Linked DNA regions of Ovis aries. The protein of the gene in region 2 interacts with the protein of the main gene of each other region in a pairwise test. Links are inferred from orthologs where the notes say so. Each region holds a gene or a part of one and is shown on either strand. Other genes may lie near its edges.

Region 1 (5,859 bases), on a different chromosome or scaffold from region 2:
AAAGCTCAGTCCATGAAATTTAAATAAAATGCAAATAAGCCTTTAAGTCTTAGCACTTGCCTTCTAGTGACAGCCTGACCCATGTTAACATGTGATTTGAAGTATGTCCAGGCATTGCCACTCAAAGCCTAGCAGGATGATTCTCCCGGCTCTCCCCTTAAGTTCATCACAGGCTTCCTGGACCTAGGGGCAATGTTGAGCTAGCTGTAGAGGCAAAGACCTTGGGAGGTAGAGTAGATGCAAGATGAGGTGTCAGTGGGGGGCAAGCCCAGCTCTGAGGTCTCCATAGAAATCAAGGAAATGCAGAGCATCCTTCAGCTAAAATCATGCAGAAGAAGCCACTTCACCTGGAAAAAGGAAGGGAAACAAGCATGGGAGAAAAATAAAAAGAATCAAATAATAAAGAGCAACCTGAGTATTTCTTTTACATACACTTCTTTCTCTTCTCCTCAAGCAAGCAAGCCATTATATAAAGCACCAAAGCGACTATAAATTTCCAAGGAGTAGTAATGGGGCAGGTTGTTAAATCTCCTTCTCACTAAATATCCTTCTATCCTTTTTCTTTGGCTATCATTTCAGCACTGTCTACTTTCATCATAATTTAATTATTTTTCCTCTCTCCACTCTCGACCCATATGGTTCTTCTTTCAGTCCGCCTTTTCACTCATGCTAGGTCTTAATTCTCACTGTCACCCTCTTCATTCCACAATAACAATGTTGTCACTTTACAGCTGTTTCCATCATTCATTGATCTCAAGGCATTTTTTTCAAATTTCCACTCATCAAGTATTTCTGAATTCAGTGGCCTTCCACCCCTCTGACTTGATTCAGGATTAGAGGAGTTGGAAAAACCAGTTTTCTTTAATCCAGGTTCCACCACTCGAACAAGCATCAGTCACCTCATCTACAAAGTGCAGATAATAATACAACCTCTCCCATACCACTTGTGTAAGGATTAAATGAGATAACTGATGTTGACAGAACACCACAGTACCTTGTATGTGAGGAATATCAATAAAGGCTTGCAGTTATTAATAACATAATAATACTTTATGGTCAATCTCCCCACCCCCAAATGCATATATCCTTAGACCACTGTCAAAGCAGGGGAAGGACAGAACATGAAGTCATCCAGGACATTTTGAGGCTCGCGAATGGTCTGTATTAAGTTGGCATTCCCTAACTCCCTGAAGCATGTCCCTGTTGTTGTTTTTCTGTTCCCCAGACTCCAGAACACGCCCTACCACCCACAACCTAGGAGCTAATCCCAGTTTCCACTTCTCTAATAATCATCTACTCTCCTTGCAGTTCCCCCATGTTCACCTTGATGCTTCCTCCTACACTTTGCTCAAGGACTGTCTCCTTATGTTTCAAATCCCAGTTTGTATGTACTTTGTTTTCAGCCTATGATACGTTCTTCCCTATAATTTACCCATAATTTCTATGGCCCAAATCCCCCTCTCTTTTCCCTCCCTCCCTCCTTCCCTTTATTTCCAATCTGCCACTTCCTGATCACATCTTCCCTGCAGCCCTCTCCTGTTCTCCCTGTCACCTAGTACTCCTGACCTTCATTCTTCCTTAGTTTGTTCTCTGTAGGTCCAACTAACTCATCTCCTCTGCCAGAACCTGTAAATGTCCCTGTCTTAATCTCGCTTCTCCTGTCTCCTCTTGCGTCTTCCCTTCCCTGGGTCCAACAAGACTTCCAAGAATGTAGAGTGACCCAGAGAATTGGGGAGGATAACAACAGCCAGGATTCAGGGCAGCTACCAACCTCAGTTACCGGGAGCTCTTGGGGAGCATAAGAGAAATGGCTTCCTGGAGCCATTAACAGGACCCACCTCTTGACCACCTGCTGCTGAATCCTGTTGGCCTAGAAGACTAAACACACCCAGGTTTTATCAAGTAACAGTTGGGGAAGCAGCAAACAAAAGTCTTTCGGATCATGCATCCCTTCCAGATCAATCACATTCTCCCAGGACAAGAAGTGAGATTGACTGGGACAAAGAACCTAGAAAATACACCTCTGAAGCTTTCTGGTTTGGTGTCCTCCTTTGCCTGACTCCCAGGATCATTTTCTACTCTGAAATGCTCACTCTCACAAGGTCTCCAAATATCTATCTTCTCTGTGGAGGGTCAGGCCAACATCCTTTAAAGACTTCCACAAGCCGAACAGCCTGAGAGTTTCCTCAGTTTCTTCCCCAACCCCCTCAAAGCAGTTATAATACACTAGTTAAATACAGCCCCAGTGTAACCAAAGCGCCTGTGAATTCTTATACTACGCACACCCCCTCTTCCACCAAAGGAACTGACTCCCGGAAGGTCATGAGTTAGAGGGTCTTCTAATTCACAATCAACTCTGCAGGAGAGCTAGACTTGCCCTCTTTACACCAAATAGTTTCTTATTTACTTACTTCTTTACTTGGGTTTGTTAATTTTTTTTGTTTACTTAACTCCCTCCTCCACTGTACATAGAGCAAATTATCGTCCTTCTAATTTGTTACCAGTTATCTCACTATTCTCATCTTAGAAGAAGAGGAGGAAGAGTCTATAAAAAGGGAGAAAAAAGAAAGAAAAGAAAAAAGATGAAAAAATCCTTCCAACCAGCAAATCAGACTAGTTTACAATCTCTCTTCCTTCTCCCCTCAAGGTATTCATGTTAGGAGAATCTGCTGAAGCTGACTCTCAGGAGACTTTATGAGGGAGACCTTGCAGGAGACTTTATGAAGAGACCTTGCAGGGGAATATCCTTTCCTCTTTAACACCACGAACTAATAGAATTTTGCTGACTACCTATTCCCCAATTCCTGCGCCCCCAAACAAGAGTCAAGCATCGCGCCCCTCCTCCTCCCACCCCACCCCCAACAACAAGGCTGTTTTCCTCACTCAGTGCTAATTCCTGCAACTGTAGGGTGGTACCTGAACCTTATCAGAGAGAGAAAAGGAGAAAAAGATTGAGAGAATTCCAAGGGCCAATACCGTGAGAAATACACACTTCAACGCACGCCATTTATATAGTCTCTATGTATTGCTCAAATGCTCAGAAAACGCACTCAACCCCAAATGTTGGGAGAAGCAACAATTCAAACCCCTTCACCAGCTGTTCTCAAAGAAATAGAACCGGTGAGTCTGAGATGAGACAAAACGATGCTAAATCTAAACCCCACCTCGTTGGGAAACGACATCTTTAATCGCGCCCTCGCCTCCAGACCTAGGTTCCCGCTCGGGCACATTAACCAGGGCGCACGCACCCCATCCCCGGGGTTGGGAAAATAACAACTGTTGGCCCCCCGGAGCGCCGCGCAGCATCTGCACCTCCCTTCTCCCACCTCCTGTTTTATTTTTAACCGTCTTCCATTCATGCCCTTCTGTCACATTCTCGATATTATTTATCCCTCAAATGTCCACTGTTTCTTAATAGCCAAAGAGGAGAGGAGAGGAAAGGTAAGAGAGGTGTCATACTTACCATTCCCAGGCGGGGTGCAAAATAAAAATAAAGAAAATCCCCGGTTTGCTTTTTTTCACCCTCAAGCTGCAACAGCTGGAGGAGGGGAAGAAGGATCTTGGGGGTGGAAGGAATCGCTCCGGTGTGGCAGGTGGGAGCTCCCAAATATCCACGGAACAAGTTCTACTGCCTGGTCGAGGGCGGGGGGTGGGGGCGTGAGGGCACAGAGTCCTAGCTGCTGGAGCCGGGGGGTAAGGATCAGGGCTGCCCCAGGGAAGACCCCAAGACTCCTGCTTCCTCTGGAGTTCAGCACAGAAGGGCTCGACAGGGAAAAGTCAAGGTTCCCCAGAAAAAAAAATATATATCCTAGACAGCAGCGATCACTTGTTAAGCCCGAATTCCTCCTCCAATATCCATCCCTCTCGCTCTCTCGCTGGCTGCTGAAGCAGCACACGCCTCCCCTGGCCGGGAGCGCGCGCCGGCCGGGGGCGGGGCCAGGGCCGTCCGAGGGTGGGGCGTTCACCGCGGTCGCCAGGGGCGCCTCCAGGCGCGGCGGGGCGGGCGCAGTCACGACGCCGCGGCTGCCCGGCCCCCGGCCTGGCCCCCAGTCGCCGAAGCTCTCGGGAGCCAGTGGGCAGCGTTCCAGGGTCCCCAGATGGGGGCCCCCAGGGGCGAGGAGCTAATCGCAGAGGGAGAGGTGTCCCCTTTGAAGCTGAAATGGGGTCCCGACGGCAGGGCAGAAACGTCAGGAGAGGCTGGAAGAGGTGACTTCGGCGGCAGGTCCAGGCTCGACCGCAAGGTGCTTCTAGGTGTCTTCTCCTCTTCCTGAAGCGTTTTCTCTGCATCTCCCCCGGTACCCCACCCACCACCCCACCCCGCTGCAAACACACAGCCCCCCCAGCCCGGCATCATAACGAGTGTGTGGGGTTGGGAACCCCGGGGGCATCCCTGGCGAGGCCGCCAGCCCGGAGCTGTCCGGTCGCCCGCAAGCGCGCCCAGACCCCTCGGTCTCCGCCTCCTTGTGGGGAGTTTGTTGGCCTCAACTCTGGGGTCGGAAGTCTCCGGCGCGGAGGAGACCGACTTTACACAGGTGTTGGACTCGGAGAAGGGAAGGATTACTGAAATTCGAATCGGGCCCAGGCCAAGGGCTACGAAAGGGAGGCTGAGGTCCGAGTTAGGAGAGTCAAAGGTCTACGAACAGGTTGCCAGTCCTTCCCGGCGGCGGGGCCAGCCCTCGGGGAACCTGTTGTTGCAAAAAGAAATACGTTGGCGAGAGGTTTGGCTCCCGGGAGATCTCTGTCCTAGTGGTCGGATCTCCAATGCCACCCACTTCCATTGAACAACAAAAAAAGCACTCCCCCCACATACCCCAACACCTCGTGGAGGGGCGAGTGCGCCCGCAGCGGCTCCTCACCCCCGATGGACTCCAGATTGCTTATTTGGTGGCTGCCTTGTGAAGTGCCCCCTGGACGTGGATGTTAACACGCAATTCTCATAAATATGCCAAAAGAAAGATTAGCGGTGGGAAGTGAGAGTTTACACACACATACACGCGCGCGCGCTCAGTGGCGGCGGGGCTCCTGGCACCTCTCCCGGCTCCCCCTGTGGCCAAGCTGGCAGTGGTGGCGCGCGCCCGGATTGCTGGAGCAAATCCGACCTTGGGCGGGTCAGTTGGCTCCGAGGCGACCACTGTCGTCCTCAGCTGGCAGCTTTGTTCGAGGGCCCAATTGGGCCTCCTCCTTTTGTGGCACTCTATTAATTATTAACAGAAATATTCCCGAACTGAATTATAGATATGCCCTCTGCTCACTCACCTAACCGCTGCTGGCTTGGCGAAGGACACTATCAGGACTGCATTTCGTTGCTGTTTAATTTTTTGGATCTTTTTAAATAACTAAAAAAAAAAAAAATCACATTGTATTCGGTGAAAAGGAAAAAAAAATAAATTTAACTGATATGAGGTCTGATTTTCCTAACTTCTTCCAGGTAGTGACAAAAGTTAGAACCTGTGTTGTGAACAAACGTACCATGATCCTCTGGCCTCAACCGCAGGTGGAAGAATTGAGAGAATGGTGCTTCCTCCCCGGATAGAGAGGCTCTGTCTCCATTCATGCCCCACTATCATCCATTTCAGAAAGTAGGTAAGGTGGATTACTCCAAATGCTCGAAACCATCCAGGGTGCCGGTCCCAGATCCCCTCTCTACTCCACAATGTGGGGTAGTCACTGTGCCAAAAGCAGATGATTAAGTTTATCATCTCATCAAAAGGATATTTCTTGGGATGGTAAAGGCAGGGTTGAGAGCATAGGATCTTGAGATCAAAAAAAGCAGCTGTATTTTCAGGGAGATGAAAACTGAGGTTGAACAATACACAAAAGAGAACATGTATACTGAAGCTTGGACATTTTAACTGGATC
Region 2 (5,820 bases):
CTTTCCCTTCAGCCTAGTGTTTTGTGTGGGATGAGGTTGTTGTGAGCAAGATGTTTTTTCCTCCCAATTTCCAGTGTTTCAGAATCCCATTCCCACCTCTTTTACTGGTGTAACAAATGGGCTTTTTTACTGTGGGGCCTGAGTTTGTAAGCTCTTGAAAATTCTGTTGGGTTAAGTGTACAGTGTCATCAATAGAAGGTCATATTTTATATGTTGCTACATATAAAACCTTGGGATTCAACTGGCTTCTTTCTAGACATTGGGAATACAGGCACAACACAGCTCCTGACCATCAGACACTTTAGACTGGATTAAAAATTCTTTGAAAAAAATTGTAAGGTTATCATGTTTCTTGGGCATTTTTACTTTGTACTCAACAGCAAGAAAAATGACTATGAAATAAAGGATCAGTAAAAATGCTTACACCAGAGAATTAAATCAAAGGGTACTTTATTAAAAAAAAAGAATCAAAACAGAAACTCTAAGTACCAGTGTGTACATTGTACACATTTAAATGACTCACAAGAATGAAGTTTTTTTCATAGACATTATCACACTACCTGTTGTTTATCAAAAGATGTTAATAGAGAAATCTGTCTCCAATCTGTATATAAGATTGCCATCTTAAACAGAACTTATTTCAAACATGCAACAACGCCACTGGTAATAAAGCTTTGGAATGGGTGCTCATTCTATTATTTCACTACAAAGAGGAGAGAAAGCAAGATAAGTTGAGAAGTTACTCTAAATAGAATGGAAGCTGTCATTCTCTACACCAGCACTCCTCACTCCTCTGCTGCCATTTTTAGCAAGTACTCCTTGTCGATCTTGAAGAGTCTCCATCCCTCTTCGCTGGATAGATCAGAGGCACCTCTTCTTTTGTAGAAGTTGATAGATGGTTCATTCCACTCTGCCACCAAGAAGTGCATGCTGCTGCAGCGACACTTCATTGCAACCTGTTACACGGGAGAGGAAAATGAACTCAGTGACAGTGCACCTGCTTTCCAAGACCCAATTTCAATTCAGTCCTTCAAATAATCCAGTAACCCTTGCAAATTTGGAAACCAAACACCAAGACATACCTGGCTTAGCTTCTTCAGAATTTCTGAGCCTATGCCAAAGCCTAAAAGAACGAGAAGTGCCATTTTAAAAAGTCATTTTAAGGACTTCAAGCCCCGATTTCTCTTTAGAGCAGCCCCCCTGAACTCAACCATACCTCTATAATCGCTCATCACAAAGAAGTCCTCAAGATACAACAGTTTGCCAATCCATGGATCATAGGTAAAATAGTACATGGCAAAACCAACAATGCTGTGTCCTGTAATAAGAGTATCACATGAGTTATGGATGAAAAACAATCTGTCAAGGTTGTAGGTGCAAAATCAGAAGCCTATCATAAGTTTAAAAAAATATACATGCATGTATTATAAAAATAAGTAGCCATTGGACCGGACTATCTTCTGACTTTTAGGCTAGTGCAATCCAGGTCACTGTTGGATGATCTCACTGTTCTTAGAACATGTTTTCACAAAAAGCACACGTTAGAGCTAGCCGAACCCAGGCTAAAACCATGGACTGGCCACTTGGCAATCTGTTGGATCTCACACTCAGGAAGTGAGAATGCTTTCATTACTTGCCAGAGTGAAACTGCTATGGTCTTAAACTAAACACACACATTATTCACATCCTATTGATATATTGGTATGTTGACTTGGGAATAAGTCAGGTTTACACGGCAGTTCAGAATAGTAAGTATTTGTAGTTTAGAAACCCTGCTTCCTTAAGGTCAGGACATAAGGCCGAAACAGTAAGGTTTAATTTCAGAACTTGCCTTCCAATTCACACATTTTCAATTTACTTTCCCCAGTGTTTAAGTCGGAAGAAACAGAGGTACTCAGGTATGATGTAACATCCACATACCTCTGGAAAGTACCTCATCCCTTATGTATTTCGCTCATTTTTTTTCTAGCAGGAGGAAATGACCTCAGAACAAACAAACAAAAAAAAAAACCCTTAATCACCCCCCAACCCAGCGCATCAACTTCCCCATTTGGCTTTGTCTTTTGGCCATTCAACAATGACCAGGAAGAAAAACAACGACAAAGAAAAAAAAGAAAAAGAAAAAGAAAAGGAAAAAAGCATCCGACTTCTTCTTAACAGGTGTCTGTAATTCCAATTGGAGGCATAAGTTTCAAATTAAACTTTCTAGCCATCTTATAGTCCTTCCCAAATAGGAAGCGAGTACATTGGAGCTTCTGATCTACCGTGTTTTAAGTGTGTGATAATAGGGCCTTACCTCATTTATCATGATCATCTACTTTATTGTGTAAAGGATCTTTTAGTTACCTCCCCGCCCATCCATGTACACGGAAGGGCCATGTACATGGCGAAGCTAGAGACTGTAACCTGAAGATTGGGACAAATTAAAGAAAAAAATGTAATTTAACACAGATACAAAAAAGGTTACGTTAGGGTCAAACAAGAACCATTTATGAAACTGAATTTACAACAAATGACTTTATACCTAACTTTTCCGGGTCTCCACCGCATTCTGATACTTACATAAACAGCTCAAACTCTTCCGGGTCTCCACAGCACTGATACTTAAAGAGCTCTTTTGACCCGCCCTATTATTAAGTGCAGCACATTTTTTTTTCAGTACTTTGAACACTGGCTGGCTATTATTTCTGGCCAATTTCTCAGTTAAGTAACTTCAGCCTGTGTTGTCAGTGCTTCTACAGAGCGGACTCTACGTCTTACACAACACTCGGTCTCTTCGGCTTCTAGAAGGACAGGGCGATTACCTTCCGGAGTCAGGTGCTCCTTGGGCACTTCTGCAACTAAGCAGTGGTAGAAGGGGTGCTCTCCGAAACCGTCTTCTAGCAGATCTGCAAGAAGGGGAAGCAGAGACAGTGTTGGAGTCGGTGACGGTCGTCCCCCAGACGCTCGTCCCTTGCCCTGCCACTGATGCGTTACCTTTTTCAGTTAACATTACTTGCTCTTCCATGTATTCGTATTTAGCCAATTCCTGGGTTAAGGCACATAAGAAAAAGGAAAAAGGAAGAGAAGCAGAAAATTAAGTGAGGCCCCGGCCCGGACAGCTCGGGGGAAGGGGGTGGGCGGGGCGGGGATTCGTTCCGAGTTTCGCCCGGAGCAGCGCCGCCTGGCCGGGGCTGTGGGTAGGTGGGCGGAGAAAAGGGGACCTGCGGGGTACAAGGACCCCAACTCCGCCTCGGGAGGAGCCCTAGCTTCCCGCTACCTTGATCAGCCGCAGGATGTCACTGCAGTCGGCAGCGGTGGCCGGGCGGATCACGAATTTAGCCATTTTCGTCTTTTGCTTTTCTTCCCTTTGCGGACCAGGCCCCTGTACTTGAACAGTAGGAGGAGGTGGTTCCTCATTCGTCTCCCGGGAGCGTCCTCTTCCCAGTCAGGATGGCACCATGACCTGGCGAACCTCGGCGAACGACGTAAGACAAGCAGCTCTCTGCAACTGGAGCCGCGCGCGTTCCTGCCGCCGGGCTCTCTGCTTTTTAGCCTGAAGAAGCCCCTCCCCGGGACGTGAGGCGGAGGCGCCTCGTCCAATGAGGTCGCGACCGCCCCCTCTTCCGGGCGCCTCCCTCTTTTCCGGGCCCCTGTGTGAACCTGGCCGGCGCGGGCGGGGCGCGGGCGGCGAGGCGCTAGGCTGAGCTCTCTAGCGGCGCCCTCTCGTGGCACGTGGTGGAGGCTTCCCGAAAGTCCGACCGCCCAGCCTAGGCGTCCCCTAAGTGACCTTTGCAAAAGGAAGAGAGAGGTTCCCCTTTGGGCCCTGGACCAATGACTTGACAATTTCTTCTCTGGAGACACCTGGCTTTGAGCGGCGAGGGGATGAGAGGTTTAGAGTAGCGGCTCGCATAGGGTGGTCTGGGGGGCCCTGTGGGTTCCAAGATCATTTCAGAACTAGCTAGCTTCATAGTAATAATAGGGTTTCATTTGCCTTTCTTAGTTTCGCTGGAATTTTCCAGAGAACTGATGTATGATGACGCCATTGCTCTCATGACTAAAGGAATGTGTGCTTGCATGTTCTTGTGTTTTCTAGAATTTCCCAAGGTAAGCTATTTGGCTTCCTCAATAATTCTTTCCCCCTCTGCTGGCAATTTTTAGAGTTAACAGAATATTTTCTTTCTTACTTTTTTCGTTTTCATTTTTTTCTTAAAATCTCTGGCTTTCCTATGAAAACACTTTCCTTTTGCCTGAGGTACACTCCTTCTGACTTGCATTTAGTGAGGGTCCGCTCTTATAACATTTTCTGTTTTGCTTGTCTAAATATGTCTTTCAGTTATCCTGAAGTTCTTGGAGGATTTATTTCACTGTGAACAAATTTGAGGTCGGAAGTTCTTTTCTCTCAGCATATTGATGACATCTATCTTCTGGCTTCCATTGCTGTTTAAAGTTGTTATATTCCCTCCTTGTTCATTCCCTGTGCTTCTTCTCCCCTCCTTTAAAACTTTTTCTTTTGAAGTAACTACAAATTTACAGGATGTATGATGACATCCTTGCTTTGGTGACTAAAGGAAGGTGTGTTTGTATGTTCTCATGTTTTCTAGAATTTTCAAAGGTTAGCTTTTAGAATTTTTCAATAATTTTTAAATGTCTTGAGAGGAGAATGTCTGAGAACAGTTGGATTAGATTATAGCTCTTCCTGGGTTATACCCACTGGAGTAAGTACTCCATCCTTTTGCAGATACAGGTTTTTATTTACAAACCACCTTCCCAGACAGGCCTTCTGAGGGCCCTGCTTCGACTAACCAGCCTGGGTTCCTCACTGAGTCAGAGCGAAAGCATAAAAGGAGCCTGCAGTGTTTTCAGTCTGTAGGTTGGATTATCACCAAATGACCCCTCCCCCAACATTCAACATAACTCTCTGCCTCTGCTCGCAATATCCTGTAGGTAGAAAAGAAAGCAAAAGTAGCTCCCCTTCCCACCCTCTGGGGCTATCATGCCAAGTGAGTCATTGTGAGAGTTTATGGAATGTTTCTCAAACATCTTTAAAAATAGCATTGATTCTCATCTGCCTAAGCCACTTTAGGTAGTGTTTCCTGACACTATTGCACTTGGGATGACCATACATAAGCCCTTCCTTCCTCTGCTTTGTTTTGTGTTGTGGGAAGACCCAGGAGAGCGTGTTACAGAATTAGTACTAACAGTAAGTTAGAACTCTGTGACTAAGCATTAATAATAACTGCCTCCTTGAAGCAAAAACAAGGCCGTTTTCAATGTGGTCTGCTTAGTCTTTTAGAATAATGGTTGTTTGTCATTAAAACACACAATATATGTTTTTCTGTTTATTCTGCTTTTCCGGTTTCAGTTTCATGTTTTTATGCTTCACTTTGCCATTATGACAATAAGAGACCATTCAGAAAAACAGGTGGCTAGAAAAAGCTCATTTATTGTGTTTTTTGCACAAGCTTAGAACCCTAAGAAATGTGGATTTTCTTTATGAATCAAGTTAGGTTTTGAAGAATCTAAGCTACTCCATTTTGTTAACAGAAAAACTCCATTTTGTAAGGTTCCAGGAAAAGAGCCTTTGGAAATCCAAGAGGCTTTGGAAATCCCCTGACCTCACCCCACCGCCCACAACCCAATCGGACCCCAGACCAAAATCTCCTGACTTAACGCTCAGGAACTTGTGGTCTACCTAGACAATAGGGACCAATCAAGAACCAACACACAACCCTTCGAAAGAAAGTGACCGATCAGATGTTCCCCTACCTAGAAATCCTTTTTCCCATGTATACTCCCTATATAAGCAATGTAATCCAAGACCCAGGGCTCCTCCCTATA
Region 3 (5,549 bases), on a different chromosome or scaffold from region 2:
AGTGGTCTGTGAACTTACTGTACATGTGGACCTACAATTCAAATAGTGCTTAAGTAGTGAGCTAAGAAGTGAGCTAACTTCCCTAAGCAGTGAGCTACTTGCCCAGGACCATACCTAACAGGCTTCTCAATATGCATGTTACATACAAATAAATCCTAAGAACACCTGCAAAAAAATACGTACAGCAACCAGCAGTCCCACCCAAGCAGTTCTCTCTAACTTAAATCCCAAATGGGCTTTCTCCGTATAAAGCACTGCATAGAGCTGATCCGCTTGTGTGCCTGCCTTCCTAGTGGAAAACTATCTAGTCCTTTCCTGCCCTCTCTCATCGTCATCAGATTGGTGACTGACTTTTTTGTTGGTGTTAAATGGAATTATGGGATCGAACCAACTGAAAGAAGAAAACAAAAGTTACATAAATAAGATGTGCAAGGTACACAGCAGGACTAGCTGTAAACTGAGCTGCTGGTCCCTGACAGCTTAGTCCCCCAAAGCCATCACTCTGACCTCTTCTTGTGTCAAATCCTATTCTCCTTTGCAATTACTGGTTTTCAATTTGAAAGGCTGAGGCTATCTTGGTTCCCAGTGAAAGAGAGCATACCAGGCTTGGTGTGTCTGGCTGCAATCAGTCTCACCCCAAGCTTATATCTTTCTCCAGCTGTTGCTGCTGCTGCTCCGCCTTTCTGGCTGCCCTCACTCCCCACCTCTCAGGGCTGTTTTTGGTCTCGATGCTTTTGAAACAGTGAACTTTGGCTATCCCAGAGAACAGGTGTGAAGAGCACAGGATGTGAAGGGAACCAAACCCCTCTTGGACAGGGACCCCAGAACCCAATGCACTATTATGGGGGTGCTGCCTGCACTATCACAAATGCTGCCCGAGTGTTAGGGGAAATGGAGACAGAGGAAGTAGAAATGGGAAGGTTCAGAAAATTCACCGGCATAGATCAACTTTGAGAACTGAGACAAAACTGTCCTAGTTACCTGCCCTAACTTAAAAGAGAAAAAGGTTCTTTCCCCTCCCCTCTGACTCCTCTGTGAAACATGAGATCACACTGACAAGAGAGAGTCACCAGGAAGTGAGTAGACATACTCAGGGAAAGGCTTATATCCATCCTACCCTGGATTAAACAGTCACAAAAGCCACGTTCAGCAAACTCACTTCTGTCTTTAAACACCCAGTTCTGCTCTTCACATAAGATGTTCTCAGAGGTTGGGTCTGCAGAGCATAACTGAGGAACAGGGCAGCAGAACTGAGCCTGCCAGGCGGCCTACCAGCTTATCCCCAAGAAATGGCATGTCCCCAGCTCCACCCAGCAATCCAGTGCTCCAGAAAGCCTCTCTCCAGAAACCAGAAGTATTGCATTTTGGAGGGGAGGCAGTTAGGGGTAGGCGGAAGCTCTACCATTAGTTCCACCCACAGGAGGGCTTTGGTCCTTCGAGAGCCTTCCACCTCTGAGTCCCAGCATACCTCTCAACCCTCTCCCTGAGAAGATGGGGTTTCTTTCCTTTGCACATCTGCCCCCAGTGAAAGGGAAACACCAAACACCTGTCCACTGAATTCCAAGGGGTTAAAAACCAAAGGAGCACTTGGGTTGGGCAGGACAGTCACAAGCTAGTAAGTCTCCAGGAGGAAAGGCTCCAGTGGGGTGTGCAAGGTTTTGGTGGCCTGAAGGAGGGAACTGGATAAAAAGGTGGGTAGGGGGATCTGCGCAGCTCCAGGACTCAGGGCAGACTCCTGCTCTCTAGAACACAGCGGAGGGGGAAGAGGAGAGGAGAGGGCCGCAGGAGGCCCAGGCCCACGGAGAACTGGGGAAAAGGCTCTCCAGGCGTGGCCTTCCTCACTGTAGCTCAGGTTTTGTCTTTCTTTAAAACGGCAGACTGCAGAGGACTGCCTGCGAAATGGTATTACAGGACCTGAACTCCTGCAAAAGGAGTTGGCTGGCTCTGGGTGCACCACATTGAGTCCCTGCTAACAGTTTTGGGAGTCTTTCTGGTCCCTTTCTACTCTTGCTTCTAAACAAGGCTTCCTTCAACAAACTGCACAAGGCTGGAGACCACAGCAGACTAGAAAGGCTTCAGGTTCGCTCCAGTTGCCGGGTGCCGAGAAAATCGCCCAGAGTAGGCCAAACCGTGGGCCTGGGCTCCTTCTCTGCCCTCCCGTCCCAACCTCCAGATGCGAGGCCTCTCAAGCCTACAGTCGAAAAGCCTGGAGTGTGTGCGCCCGCGTGGATTTTAATCTGGTCCTGTTTCGACCTCTTTATCTACCCGTCCCCTTAAACTTAGAGAAGGCACTTGGCGAGCCCGAGGCGCCTTTCCCGAGGGCACCTCGGTTCCACCTCCTACCTCGCCGGGTCCAGACTGAACGCCGCTTCCGCCGAGGGAGTAAGGACCGGCTTGGCTGGAGTTGGGGGGTAAGGTCGCGCCCAGCCCACTCCCGCCACACTCGCCTTCGGGCCTGCCGGCCAAAGCCTCCAGGGCTGCTTCCAAGTGTTTCCGACCGGGCGCAAGCCCGGCCCGGCCCCGCCGCGGCCCTTACCTGGCTTGGCGAGCGGCGCCTGCAGCGCCCCGGGCGGGGGCTCGGCGGCCCAGCGCAGCGCGGCGGCCGCAGCCAACTCGGCGGCTGGGCGCGACGGCTGCTGCGACGGCTGCGAGGTCGGCGGCGGCTGCGGGGCGGCGGCGGCGTCTCCCGGCGGCGGGGGTCCCGGCAGGGCGCGCAGCGAGTCGGGGATGAGGCTCTCGAGGCTCTCGTTGGCCTGCTGCCTGCGCAGCGCCACCTGCGCCGCCATGACCCGCTGCCGCTCGATGATGAGGATGCACTTCTCGCAGGTGCAGTCTTTGAAGCGGCAGTAGCGCTTGTGGCCCTTGAGCCAGGACAGCACGCCGTGGTTGCGGCAGCGCGCGCACTTGGGCGTGCGCTGCAGGGGCGCCCGCGGCGGCTGCGACACCGGGCCGCCCATGTACAGGTAGGGGGAGCCGTAGCCGTTCATGCCCCGGGCTCCCGACAGAGCTGGCAAGCTGGCGGCGGGAGCCGGTACGGGGCCGCTGGACGGCGGGGCTGAGAGGCCCTCTCCAAAGCGGCCTCCGGGCGGCGCAGTCCTCGGCCCCGCAGTCCAGGCGGCCTTGAGCGCTTCGGAGTGGCTGGAGGGGCCGCGGCCGTCTTTACGGCTCCCGACGGGCGCTTCCCTACTCCCGAGTCGGCCGAGTCTCCTCCCGCCGCTCCTTTGGCCGGCACGTCCTCCGCGGCCGAGGCGCGGCGGCGGCTGCCGGGAGCCGGCGAGAGCTCTGGTTAAGGTCTGAAGCGGCTCGTCCGCAGCTCCCGCGCGCAGACCGGCCGGCACGTCCTCTGCCGCCCTCCCCCCGCCTCCCTCCCCCGCCACCCCCACCTTCGGGGTCCCGGTCTCCTGGCACTCTCCACCCCACTCCACTCCACGCCTCCTTCCTCCTGCCCGCGCCTCTCGAGACCCTGCGCTTTACTCTCCCTGCTACCTGCCGCCGGGCCACTCTCACGGGGGCGCTCACGGCCCCCTCCTCCGCGCTCCCTGCGCCTCTCCTGCTTGCAAGGGAGGGACTGCAGCACTCGGGACGCGGCAGCGCCCGCGGGGCGGGGAAGGGAGGACCAGCGCGGATGAGGGTGAGGGTGCCTCTGGGCGAGGCGGGTGGCAGTTCCCCTTCAACTCTCTTCCCGCCTCCCTCCAGGCCCGATTTGGCGGCACCGGGCCCAAGGCGGCTTTCATTCCCACACTTGGCCACAGAAACACGGCTCGGGGAGATCCGGAACCTATCTGAGCGCTGCGGATACACTAGGGTCCCGGCGCGAGAAGAGGTTTTATGTTGCGGGGAGCCAGGTCCTGCGGCCACTGGCTGGAGAAATTGGGGGTAGGGCATTTGAACTGGTTCGAGAAATGGGGGCTTTCTTGATTTCTTTTTGCAAAGTTTTTTTTTTTTTTTTCTTTTTGCCGCTGCAGAAGAAAATGCTTTTGAAAACCTGCTGGTCCAAGGATGACGACCCGTTTTGCAGGCTGTTTCAAAGGGGAAAATAGTCCTCCCTCTGTGGCGCAGTTTACCTTTCTACACCTCCACGTTGTAACAAAAAATAAAGTCTCTGTTCTGAAAAGCCGGCAAATGCTCTTTTGGAGTTTGTGTTTAAGCACTGGGTCTAAACTTTCAGAGAGCGAATGAAGGGGCCACGCTAGTGCCCCCCAAGTTACCGCATATGATCTGAACCCTGCCCAACGGTCTTTGAGAAATCAAACGGAGGTCTCGCATCACCCCATTCAAATGCCCACGGACTCAGCAATCTAGTTATGAATAAGGGACGGGGCCACCCCACCCCCACACCAGTGTCTTTGGGTGGGAGAGGGCCTTTGCACAGATGACTGTAAAACTTTGTTTAAAGTGATACTTGTGTGTATGGGTTATGGCCTAAAGCAGAATACCTCCGCAAACACACAGAGATGCTCCCCTAATGGGAGAAAACAAGAAAAGCAGTGGTTACTGCGGCGCAGGGTAGCACAACGGCTCAGTGCGAAGAGGCGCGATGGCAATCCCGGAGCCGTCTTCAGAAGGCAGGCTTCAGAGAGCACCCTGAATTCATCTCTTGGCGGTCTGGACGAATCCAATGCGAATCCGGAGCGTAGACCAGTCGGCTGCAATGGTCAACCGGTCGGCGCCTCTCAGCTTTATTCTGCACTGCTTTGGAAGCAAACGAACAACCCGAAAACGTCCGTGTGTGTGCTGTGAATTCAAGTACCACCAGGCGTTCCAGCAGCCAACCCTCCGCCTAAAAGGGCGATTCCGGGAGGAGAGTAGGTTAAAAAGTGAACCTGACTGTGTATGTTGCCCTTGAGGCCCTTGGCTGCCCCCCACCTTCCCCATTTCAGACCTGCGGCCCTCGTGGGGCGCAGAAAGGAACCCCCAGCAAGAGACTGCTAACCTTAGGAGGCTTGCCTCCAAAACTTCTTAGGGCACAGACCCCTTAGTCTTACTCCTAACCCCCACCACGTCATCAATCTCTCCTCCCAAACTTCGCGAGGAAAACAAGCCTTAAGGCACTACAACTGGGAGGAACTTCCAAAAATTCTCGGGACTGGAGGCCTGGGTCACCCGCAGCGCGGTGGCCCAGAGGCTTGGAAGTGGGAAGTTCACAGTGAGAAACACATAGAAGGCCTAGAATGACACTGAATCTGGGACACTGAAATCTCTAAATCTCTTGGAAATACAGAGACCACAAACTTTTCAAAGCCAGATTTCTCCCATATTTCCTTCAAACAAATGGTTAGCAAAACCAGGAGTATAAGAAACCTGAGAGTAATGAATTTTTTTTTTTTTTTTTTTTAAGGAAAGCAGCAGAGCTCAGCACCAGGTTTGGGGGACATTTCCACTACAAGGCGACCCACTCTCCCTCAGTCACCTAGTCACCCTATCCCTTTGCCACTCAAACAGTCTTGCATTATTTGGTCCCCGGGGCCCTGTTTCACTCCAGTGCACATAGGGGCTGAGACCTAAATACTCATTTGATATAGCGCAATAATCCTTTTCTCATATTTGAT
Region 4 (4,724 bases), on a different chromosome or scaffold from region 2:
CCCAGGCCCAGCTGTGGCTCTCTCGGCTCCGGAAAGTTTCCCCTCACTGTTTGCTTTGCTGCTGTTTAGTTTCTTAACCTTCAGAAATTTATACGCTATAAACTTTTATAGCGGTCATATTCTTTTATTGCTGCGCACACGGCATTGAATTCCTCTCCCGGCTTCTCTCTGGCTCGCACTCTCCCGGTCCCCCTCTCTGAATCCCTCTCTTTTATTACAGCAGATTTCCCCATCTCCGGCTTCCGAGCCTCTGCATCCTCGCCTTTGTTTGTCTTTAAAGAAGCCACCCGGGGCTGGGGACCCAGACGCCGCCGCCGGAGGCTTCCCGGGGCGCCCTCGCCCCCCTACCCGGCAGCACTCCGTTCAGTTCCTGCCTCACTTTTTGCGTTTCCTTTTGGCGGAATCTGGCCTTCTCAGCTCCGTCTCAGCTCAGGCTGGCTCCTGGGAGCCCAGGATGAGGAGGGAGCCTAGTCTACGCAAGCTCTAAAGGCAGATTCACTTGATATACCGACTGGAACCCTCGGAGGAGGAGGCGGGTTGGGGCCCCAGCGAACCGGGAGCTTCGCGTTCTCCTGCATCCGGCTGTCTCCGATCTTGCGTTCGCTGGAGAGGGGTAGGCCTGACCTTTTCGCTTCCAGGCCGGTTTCACAAGGGCCAGGCTTTGTCCCCACCTCTATCCCAACCTCAGGGTCTCCGCGGACTGCAGCGCCGTTGGGTGGGCCCGGTGGGAGGCTCCGGCAGGAGTCCGGCGCCCAAGAGCCAGCCCGGCAGAAGCGGAATCCCAGCGCCTGGATGAGAACCGCCTGGCGGCTGACAACAGCGCTCCTCATCTGAGGCTTTGGTGGTGGACGCCGCAGTCTGAGAGGGACAGGAAGGTGCCTTTTGAAACCGAATTTAGTTTTGGGGTCCGATTGGGGAAGGGATTCCCCCCCATCCCCCGCCCCGGCCCGCCCCGCCTCGCCTCAACCATTTCTGTTCGACACACAACCGTCTCTCCCAGCCTGCAGGAGCTGCCTCCCCAGGCCCCACTCCCAACAAACTCCACCCGCATCACACCAAGGCTGCTACCCCGAGGCTCAGGTTGGAGCCTCAGACTCCAGGTGGGGGTTGGAAACCTGGGGTTCACTCTTTTTGAGGGGTGGAAGAAAGGAGAGCCTGGCCTTGTGGAGGCCTCTATTTGCATCCTGTCCGTCTGCAGCAGGGAATAGCAGAAAGAAGTTACTGCTCTCTTCACTTGCGTGACATTTTAAAGTGGCCAAACCAAGGTGCCTTTCTCAGCCAGCTGAGGACCTGCTTCCAGGCACAGCAGGGCAACCTTGCCTTTCCTCTGGCTCTGGAGGTGGTGAGGACGTCTCCAGCATAACTTAAGAGGAAGGTCTCATTGCTCCCTGCAGACCCAGATCCCATCTCTAATCCTTCTTTCCTTTTCTTCCCCTCCAGTCTCCCAGCCCTCCTGTTGGAAGGTTCTTCTCAGTTTAAGCAGAGGTCCTGGGTCCAGACCAGCTCGCAGCTCCTGCAGGAAACCCACCCTACAAAGTCTAAGGAGAAATCTCTTGGGCGCAGCACTTTCTCTTTTTTCCAAGCCACCCTCTTGGCACTAGCACCTCTACTTCTGGTCAGGTGAGGAGAGCCAACACAGAATGACACACGAGAGGCTTGTTGTCTAGAGTGATATATATTTTTTGTTCTTTTTCTTGTTTCTTTTTCTTCCAAAACAATCAGAGCTCTAAGCCCTTCACCCTCCCCACTCCCACCCACAACCCTCCCTTGTAAGCGACAACTGAAAACAGGCGAGACAATCACCCCCAAAGAAATCACAAAACACAGCACAATTTCACGACTGCCACCGACGAAGCAAAAAAAGTTCTACTGGAATGTCCCCTTGCAGGGCCGGGAGAAGCAGGAGCCAGAGTCTATGAATTGAGGGGGGGTTGTAAAGGTGGGGACGCAGGGGGAGGAAAGGAAGCAGAGAGTAAACCCTAGTCTAATGCTTAGGTGCGATTTCGGCCTCTTTCCTTAGCAAGCGGGACTGCTACCCAGCAGCGTGCGCGCGCAGGTCGCCATCCAGGCGGGTCTCAGCGCTTGTGCGCTGAAGCAGCAGCTGCCAAGCCCGAGGCTCCTCCGCAGGGGTCGGACTGGGCAGGACTGGAGGAATAAGTCAAGCTCCGCAAGCCCAGAGTTTTTGCTCCTCCCTGTCCTCCACGACTTGCTCTGGAGAGGAGCCCAGGAATCGATGCACAATAAATTCTCCATCGGGTTCTCCTGACCTGCTTTCCCGCCTAAGGAGGAGTACAGCTAGCAGAGGATGGGGGGGGGGGGGGCGGTGGTTCTACAGGGGCGACTTGACTCGCTGGTGCAAGGTGGACTGGCCTGGCCGAACAGAGTTGATTTCAGAGCTGGGGAGGATGCAGAAGAATGCAGCAGGGCCGGTGTCAAGCAAGAGAGGCCACAGTCTCTGTCAAGCAGGGCACAGATGAACAGGAGGATGACATTGTCAAGGCTTATGACCCACGATCTGACCTCCTTTTGTTGGAAGGATAGGAAAACAACATGCAGAATTAAACATTTCCTGCAGCAAAACGTGTGTATGTGGACTACTTTCATAAAACCTAAGAGACTCTCATAAGACCACCACTGCCTTTCCTTGCCCTTTCTAGCCCACCAGCTGGGGAACTGAGTTTATCCCATTTGGCCTTGAGTCCATGCCTGGGGACAGTTAAGGAGTCCATGGGGGTGATGCTGTGACGCTGGGCCCCTTGAACTGCAGCGCCTCATTCAGGAATGTGTCTCGAGACATCTTCTTGGTGTGTATTGCATTAGGGGTAGACCCTGGACTTTTCTGATGGTCTAGGGGCTATTCTGCCAGATGTGGGGTGTGATGGCACTTGGGGTGTCACTTTGAGTGTTGACTGTGGGCTTTTCCCATTGTTACTGTGGGCTCCAGGCTTTATGCAGGCGGGCGTCTGTTGGGCTGTGTGAAGCTGGAGTGTCCCCGGGTGACTTAGGGATAGGTGCGTGGGAAGGAACAGGCAGGTTGGAAGTGAGGAACTGGGGTTGCCCAGAAAAATTAGGAGGGTTACTAGGGACTCTACTAGGGGTTGTCTTTCCTTGTGGCCCATCACCTTAGGAATCAACTACATCTACCTTCTAAATCAATAAAAACTCCTCCTGAGACCCAGGGAGAAGAGGACAGGTGAGGGCAAAGGAAAGGAGAGAGCCTCTAGATACAGAAGAGGACTTTGAAGAGAAAGATCCCTTCCCCATTCACTTGAATACATCCCAGACAGCACTTGGCTCTGCAGCCATCACTTATAAATAAGTGTGAGATGGAGAAGGGGTGGGGTGGGCTAGGGGAATCTTTACTCTTTGCCCTGTTCCTTATTCATTTTCTTCATTTTCATCCGCCGGTTCTGAAACCAGATTTTGACTTGTCTCTCACTCAGATTGAGGAGTCTGGCCACTTCGTGCCTACGGTCCCTGGTGAGGTACATATTGAACAGAAACTCCTTCTCTAGCTCCAGCGTCTGGTATTTGGTGTAGGGACAGCGCTTTTTCCGGGAAGAGCGAGCGTGCAGCCAGTTGGCGGAGGGGTTGGCTGAAAGAGAAGCAGCGATAGAATCAAAGAAAGGAAAGGGGGTGAAAGCCCCTGTGTTCATCTTCCAAGAGGGTGCCCCTTTGGTCTCTACTCCCCATTTTGCATTAGAGAAAGGGCCACCTGGGCCTTCAGCTCCCAGAAAGGGTCTCAGAGATGGGCCAGGAGTTGCTATAGATACCTCCAGGTGAGAGATCTGGGGACAGGATAGAGCCAAACCTGTGCCAGGCATCCCACAACTTCCAAAGCTTTGCCTGTCCCAGGCGCTCTCTCAGTCTCTTTCTCGGCTTGGGTCAGAACTGGTTAGGATTTGGGTCAGAGCCCAGCCTGGCTGAAGCCCCCTCCCCCACCAGCTCTACAAGACTAGAGGTGGCTGGCTGACTGAGGAGTACTGGCTCTAAGTCTGAGAGGTAAGAGAAGGACTGAGCTAGGGGAGAGGAGAGTGGCTTCTGCCCAGCCAAACTGAGGGACCTCCTGGGCCTCCAGTCCAGTGCACCCTCCTGTCTTAACCACAAGCTTGGGTCTCTTGGCCACATGGCAGCAGGCATATGTATCTATGTGATAGCTCGCCACCCCCCCCAACACCACACACCACAAATATGGTTTGCATTTAGAGACGCAAACATTCAGCACACTCCAATTCACATGCAACCCAATTACAACCATTTATCACCTCCAGCCTGTGGACAAGAGAGCGCTGAGGGCTCACAGATAACTTATGGTTGCAATAGTCTCCGTTTCCGCTCCTGCTCATCTCGCAGTTTGGTTAAAGCAAGTTCAGGGAAATTGGGACGCAAGATTGCTCCAGTCCCAAGGTGGGGAGCCATGGATCATGTGGGGGTAACAGAGGTCCATCACAGCACACCTAAATCCAACTGGCTTCACCCGGTGAGAGGGAACAGAGAAAGGGGAGATTGAGGGGAAGTGGGGGATAAACAGGAAACAAAATATATACAGGCTTCTCTTCTCCTTACCCCTGAACTCAGAAAAGTTGCTAAATAAAGCAGAGTTCATTAAAAATAGCAGCCACCCTCTGCTAGATTCCTTCATCTCAAATGAAAAGCACTGAATTTTTTTTAAGTAATAATAATCTGGTTCATCCTACACTAAGTACCCTGTCTTACCAATTTGC
Region 5 (5,789 bases), on a different chromosome or scaffold from region 2:
CATCCGTCTGTCTGTCCACCCCCAGCCACGCCCCTGTGCTCCATGGGGCACCCCTTCCTCCGGGGCCCCCGCCCACAGCCTGCATGGATAGCCCCACAGGACGCAGCCGGACCCTCCCTAGAATCCACTGGGCGGGCGGGCCTCAAGCCCCGTTTCTAGGCTGCCCACCGTTGGAGCGCTGGCTGGGGGCGGCCGCAGCGCACAGACGGCCCCGGGCGACACTTACGATGACGACTCTGCAGACATGGCCGCGGCAGAGCTCCGCGTAGGACGAGTAGTGCACGTAGGCCAGCCAGCTGCCTGCGAGGACGCCCAGCCACACGAGGAAGACATACTTGACCCTCAGGCCTGGGAGCCGGCCCTGCGGGGGAGGGGGCGTGAAGAAGTACAGCGGACCTGGCCTCCCAGCCCCCAGCCCCCCAAGCCCCGCCCCGGTCAGTGTCTCCCTCCCACTCCGCTCACCCACTCTGGTGCAAGGCAGGGGCCTGGTGTCTCCCAGACCTTGAAATCTCACAGGCAGGGAAAAATAAATTCCAAATGAGGAGGATTTAGGGCAGACAACTCTATTTTGCTGAATAAAGAGATTTGGAACAATTTTTTCCTCCTGTCCTGCCGTCATTTCATAATGACGTAACCTCTGTAGAAGGTCAGGCTGGAAAGGCACACCCCCCACCCCGGGCCCCTCACGCTGGGCCGGCACCCTTCACAAGGTTCCTCCCACTGGGGAAGACTTCAGGCTGGACCAAGGCCAGCAGGGAGCCCAGGGCTTGGAGGCGCAGTCACCCTGTGAGCTTTTAAGGGACCCAGCCTCGCACACCCCCCATCACACCAGCCAAAGGGTAGACACAACCCGCGGACCCACTGAGGAGGGAGCGGGCAAGCCAGATACGGCCCATCCACACACGAAAACGGTGTTCAGCCATGAAAAGGCAAAGAACTCCGACCCAGGCTACGGCATGGATGACCCAGCAGGACATCATGTCCAGTGAAATGAGCCAGACACAAGACAGATCCTGTGTGACTCCACCCAGGCAACAACCTGGAGGACTCAGATCCACAGACACAGGAAGGGTGGGGACAACGGGGAGCGGTGGGGAGAAAGGGGGGCCTGCCCAGGATGGCGAGTGAGTGTTTGAAGGGGACAGAGCTTGAGTGCTTGAGTTTGGGAAGATGAAACGAGTTCTAGAGATGGAAGGTGGTGGTGGCTCAGCAACGGGGATGTGTTTAATGCCCTTGAACAGTGCACTTAAAAAACGGTTGAGATGCTGAATTCACACGATGTGAAATTTACCATAATAGAGAAGAGATAACCAAGATACTCAGCCCCTGGCCCCGCTGCCAGAGGCTCCGTCCCAGGAGCGTGGGGTGGGCCAGGAACTGCTTCTCTGGAGAGCAGCTCTCCCAGGCTGATGAGTGGAATCACAGGGTGGGGGGGACCCAGAGCCCTGCAGGAACTGGGGGGCACTGTCTCCCATCCAGCCCCCAAGCCAGGATTGCAGGAGCATCAGCTTCCTTCCCCACCCCCGTCCTGGCAAATCACGGCCTCAATGGCTGCTGCCCAGCAGCAGTCAGCTGATGGGCCAGAGCTACCAGGCACTGCTCCGTGGAAGAGCTCAGACACCCTGACTGGGGCAGCTGAGCCTCAGAGAAGAGGGCCCGGGAGAGCAAGGGGCTCCAGAGCAGGGCCTCTACCAGCACTGGTCACACATCCTGCCACCCCTGGGTCAGTGGGGTGGCTCCAGTCCTGGTCAGCCCTGGGCTTCTCATCGGAGGCTGGGGCCCAGAAATGGGGCCAGCGGCTCTCCCCTGGGGACGAGGCAAGGCCTCCAGGCTCAGGTCAGGCAGCTGCGCTAGTTTTCACAGTTCCTCCAGGAGAGGCAGGGCCTTCCCCTCCTGCTCCTCTGGCGGAATCCCCCGGCCGCCCAGGGAGGCGCTGCAGCAGGTGCGGCTGGGAGCCGCGGAGGCCCGGGGTGGCCCTGGCCAGAGTCGCAGGGCTGGGTCGCAGGCCCACTGGTCCTGCCACCACATCTGCTTCTGCCAGTTTTGTTCAAAGGGAGAAGCAGGAAAGCAGGCCAGCGGGTGGGGGGCCGGGGAGCCAGGGGCGCGGCTGGGGGCAGGCGGAGGCCAGAGGACTGCCAACCGCCCTGGGGGGACAGGTGGAGGCCAGAGGACTGCCAACCGCCCTGGGGGGATAGGCGGGACAAGGGCGGGCTGTCGCCTGCACTGGCCCCAGGGGCTGACCTGGGCCAGACCCAGGTTCGCGGCCTGACCGCAGGGCCCACCTCGGACACGGCCCACGCTCCCGCCAGAGCCCCTCCAGCTCCGGCCTTCCCGTGGCGGCCCCGCTCCATGGACACCGTCCCCAGCGCCGAGCTCTGAGAGACCCCCAGGCCCTGATCATCGCAGGCAGGCACTTCCTCCGAGGGGAGTCCCTGCCCCTACCCCCTGCCCTGCCTTGCCCCTGTGGCATCCTGACGCCCAAGGGTGAGCATGCCGCCAGGACAGGGGGAGCTCACTCAGTGCGCCCTAGTCGGCGGCTCCCCGCACCCCCAGACTGCCTGGCTCCTAGTGGAGCACTTGGGGGGTCCCTCGGGGGACACAGACAGCATGATGACCAGCAGCCTCGGGGCCAGGGGCCCACGTACACCGTGGCCTCCACCCCTCACCACCAACACAGGAGTGTGTTTCACATGTGGTAAACTGAGGCTCAGGGTGTCTCCTCTCATTAAGGAGGCGGGTGTCTGGGAACCAACCCAAGCCACTGGGAGCCCATCACCTCTCCTGTCCAGGCTCCTTCGCCGTTCCCAGGCTGAGCTCAGAGGCCTGACACCCCCAGTCCAAGACCTGCCACACTGGCCTGGTCGGTCAAGCCCTTTCCCTCAGGATGGGGCTGCTGCACCCCCACCTCCCAGCGTGGGGGAGGCCACAGACCCTCAGCTCCCACCCGACCCAGAGATGGGTGGAGATCACTACCCCCGAAGACCCCTGGATGGCAGGGGGGCTTCTGGCGCAAACTCCTGAGTGCATTACCTGGCTCCCACCCTTCTCCCCAGAGGGGACTCCAGGGAGGTGCGGGCGAGTCTGACCAGGGCTGTCTCCTTCTGCCCAGGGCCTGGGGTCGTGAAGGTGGCAGGTTTGGCCTGAATAATTTGAGGCTCGCATTCAGCCCGGCTCAGACCACCCCAAGCAGCCATGACAGGGATCACGGTAGGCGGCCCCCAGAGCAGCCTGGGCCTCCCCTGCAGACAGCAGGGTCCCGAGAGGGCCGGGGATCTGTCCAAGGTCACTGTGGGGAGGGCACACTCCTCTTCTCGGGCTGGCTGGGGGATGACCCAGGGGGAGGGTACGCCCTTCCTAGGGTGCTTCTACGGGTCCCAAGTTTTCCATCACAGAAAGACAAACCTGGTCTCCTAAGTAGAGGAAAGCGGGGCGGACCTGGTGTGGCTTCGGGGCCTGCGGGAGCAGTTCCGGCCCGCGGCGGAGCGGGGGCCTTCTGCAGCCCCAGAGGCACTGGGGCCAACCCCGCAGCATCCGCTCACCCGATCGGCAACCTCCACCCCGGGCCCCGCCTGCCCCCGGTCCCCCAGGGACCACGCACCCGGGCCCTCAGCGACCTTGAGTCCGGAATCCGCCCAGGGTCCCCGGGCTGGATGCCGCGCGACCCCGCCGCGGCCCGGGCCCCAGGGCGGGAGGGGTGGGGGCGGGAGCCGGCCCGGCCGGGGGCGCGCCTACCTGCAGGCCCTTGGAGAAGGGGCAGAAGAGGACCAGGTGCGCCAGGCGCCGCAGCCGCCGCATGGTGGGCGCGGGCCGTGCGCGGGCCCGGCTCGCCTCCGCTCGGCCTCAGCCCCGCGGGCCGGCCCGCCCGCATCGGCCGCCGCGCCTCCTCCCCGCCCCGCGTCCGCGCCAGAGCGCTCGCCGCTGACGGCCCGGCGGGTGCGCGGGGAGGGGGCGCGGCGGGGGCGCGCGGCGGGGGGAGGCGGGCAGCCGAGGCGCGCGGGGGCGCGCGGCCGCGAGGCGGGCGGCGCGGGGGCGCGGCGGGGAGGGCGGGAGGGCGGGGGAGGCGCCCGCGGCCCCGCCTCCGCCCCGCCGCCCCCTCCGCGCCCGGAGGGAAGGGGGAGGGCGCCGAGGCCCCGCCCCCCCGCGCCCCCGGCCCGCCCCCGGCGGCGCGGACGAGCCCCTGCGTGCGAGCCCCCGTCGCCCGCGAGGCCGCCACGGGAGGGGGCTGCACGGCGGGGGCCGTCACGCGCCCCTCGGTGGAGGAGAGGCGGGTGATGGAGCCGGGCAGCCTGCGGAGGTCCCCCGGGGCAGGGGCGGACGCGCGGGGCGCGGGAGGCGCCGGGGCCCGGAACAGTCGTGGGAGACCCCTAGTGGGGTCCCGCGCCGACCACAGGGCCTGGAGGGGCGGTGGATACTGCGGCAGCATTGGCCTCTTTCTCCCGCTTTTTAAAGACAGTAAAACGCACTGTTGCACCGTGCGGCTGTGCCGGTGTTTGCACAGACAGCCCGTGGGCACCCCCACTTGCAGGCTGCAGAGCAGTTCGGGCCTCGCTTTCTTCCAGGCTCCCCCGCGCCGGGCCCAGTCCCGGGGAGCTGCGGCTCGTCCCCTGCACGACACAAAAATTGAAAAAAGCGGCCGCAGCCTCCAGGTCTGGCTTCTGTCCCTGGGCAGAGGCCTGGACGCTCAGCACCCCTCTTTGCCAGCGTGGGCACCAGGCACCAACTCGATTAGCCGGTCAGTCACCTCTTGAAGGCCCCCAGAGTTGGTCCTGGCTTGGGACATCAGGAGCAGAGCCGCCGTCAAGTCAGAACTCAAGGTTCTGTGTGAAGGACATTCCCTTTCCCTGAGGTGATACAGGCTGGGGATGCCATGGTAGGCGTAGGCACCCTGCATGTGGGAGTTCTGGTCGCTCCACTTTCCCATGGCACTTGGTTTCGACCCTTTTAAAATTCTAGCCATCCTATGGGGAGCCTGTAAGTGCAGTTTCTTTGTGGTTATTTGCATTTCCCCAGAGGCAATTGATGTTGGCCATTTCTTACATACTTAGTTGCAACCTGTATATATTCTTTGGCAAAGCGTCTATGCAAACTTTTTGCCCAACTTTTTTTTTTGGTTATTGTTTGTTTCTTTGTTGAGTTTTTTCTCTAGTTGCAGCGGGTGGGGGCGACTCTTGCCGGGCGCAGGATTCTCATCACAGCAGCTTCTCTTGCTGCAGAGCGTGCTCTAGGTGGATGGGCTTCAGTAGCTGTGGCTGGAGGGTTCGAGCGCAGGCTCAGAAGTCGTGGCTCACAGTCTGACTTGCCCCACGGCATGTGGAATCTTCCCGGACCAGGGATGAAACCAGTGTCCGCTGCATCGACAGGCATACTGGCATCCACTGAGCTACCAAGGAAGTCCTGCTGCTGCTGCTGCTGCTAAGTCGCCTCAGTCGTGTCGGACTCTGTGCGACCCCGTAGACGGCAGCCCACCAGGCTCCCCCGTCCCCGGGACCTACACGTTCTTAATTTGGATGAGGTCCAGTTTGTCCATTTTTCCCTTTTATTTGTCTGTGCCTGTCAAATCTAAGAAGTCTTTGCCTAACTCAGCCCAGGGTCACAAAGATTTTCTTCTGTTTTCTTCTAGGAGTTTTATAGTGTTAGGTTTTGCGTTTGGGTCAGTGATTCAGGGGAGCTCATTTTGGTACACGGCTTCGCAGGTGGCGCTAGTGGTAAAGAATCTGCTTGCCAAAGTAGGAGATGCAAGAGGTGTGCGTTCGATCCCCGGGTCAGGAAGATCCCCGGAGGAGAGCACG

What was found.
Region 1: the proteins of SAT1 (region 2) and KCNA4 interact in binary tests that used the Homo sapiens proteins (3 or more experiments, as listed by UniProt). The link is inferred for Ovis aries from reciprocal best matches to the Homo sapiens genes SAT1 and KCNA4.
Region 3: the proteins of SAT1 (region 2) and DMRT3 interact in binary tests that used the Homo sapiens proteins (3 or more experiments, as listed by UniProt). The two-hybrid records come from large-scale screens. The link is inferred for Ovis aries from reciprocal best matches to the Homo sapiens genes SAT1 and DMRT3.
Region 4: the proteins of SAT1 (region 2) and HOXB9 interact in binary tests that used the Homo sapiens proteins (3 or more experiments, as listed by UniProt). The two-hybrid records come from large-scale screens. The link is inferred for Ovis aries from reciprocal best matches to the Homo sapiens genes SAT1 and HOXB9.
Region 5: the proteins of SAT1 (region 2) and DIPK1B interact in binary tests that used the Homo sapiens proteins (3 or more experiments, as listed by UniProt). The two-hybrid records come from large-scale screens. The link is inferred for Ovis aries from reciprocal best matches to the Homo sapiens genes SAT1 and DIPK1B.

What each region holds. Positions count from the first base shown.
Region 1 is NC_056068.1:59,526,375-59,532,233, forward strand, and holds the start of KCNA4 (potassium voltage-gated channel subfamily A member 4), read right to left. Parts: upstream 3,885-5,859; 5' UTR 3,464-3,884; intron 348-3,463; 5' UTR 1-347. UniProt on the Homo sapiens protein: Voltage-gated potassium channel that mediates transmembrane potassium transport in excitable membranes. Forms tetrameric potassium-selective channels through which potassium ions pass in accordance with their electrochemical gradient.
Region 2 is NC_056080.1:22,192,448-22,198,267, reverse strand, and holds SAT1 (diamine acetyltransferase 1), read right to left. Parts: upstream 3,505-5,820; 5' UTR 3,326-3,504; coding exon 3,260-3,325; intron 3,029-3,259; coding exon 2,977-3,028; intron 2,889-2,976; coding exon 2,805-2,888; intron 1,319-2,804; coding exon 1,217-1,318; intron 1,124-1,216; coding exon 1,083-1,123; intron 957-1,082; coding exon 786-956; 3' UTR 434-785; downstream 1-433. UniProt on the Homo sapiens protein: Enzyme which catalyzes the acetylation of polyamines. Substrate specificity: norspermidine = spermidine >> spermine > N(1)-acetylspermine. This highly regulated enzyme allows a fine attenuation of the intracellular concentration of polyamines.
Region 3 is NC_056055.1:69,237,852-69,243,400, reverse strand, and holds the start of DMRT3 (doublesex- and mab-3-related transcription factor 3), read right to left. Parts: upstream 3,263-5,549; 5' UTR 2,988-3,262; coding exon 2,537-2,987; intron 1-2,536. UniProt on the Homo sapiens protein: Probable transcription factor that plays a role in configuring the spinal circuits controlling stride in vertebrates.
Region 4 is NC_056064.1:37,601,442-37,606,165, reverse strand, and holds the end of HOXB9 (homeobox protein Hox-B9), read right to left. Parts: intron 3,596-4,724; coding exon 3,360-3,595; 3' UTR 1,657-3,359; downstream 1-1,656. UniProt on the Homo sapiens protein: Sequence-specific transcription factor which is part of a developmental regulatory system that provides cells with specific positional identities on the anterior-posterior axis.
Region 5 is NC_056056.1:2,817,266-2,823,054, forward strand, and holds the start of DIPK1B (divergent protein kinase domain 1B), read right to left. Parts: upstream 3,839-5,789; 5' UTR 3,796-3,838; coding exon 3,733-3,795; intron 3,573-3,732; exon of another isoform or gene 3,532-3,572; coding exon of another isoform or gene 3,403-3,531; intron 362-3,402; coding exon 227-361; intron 1-226.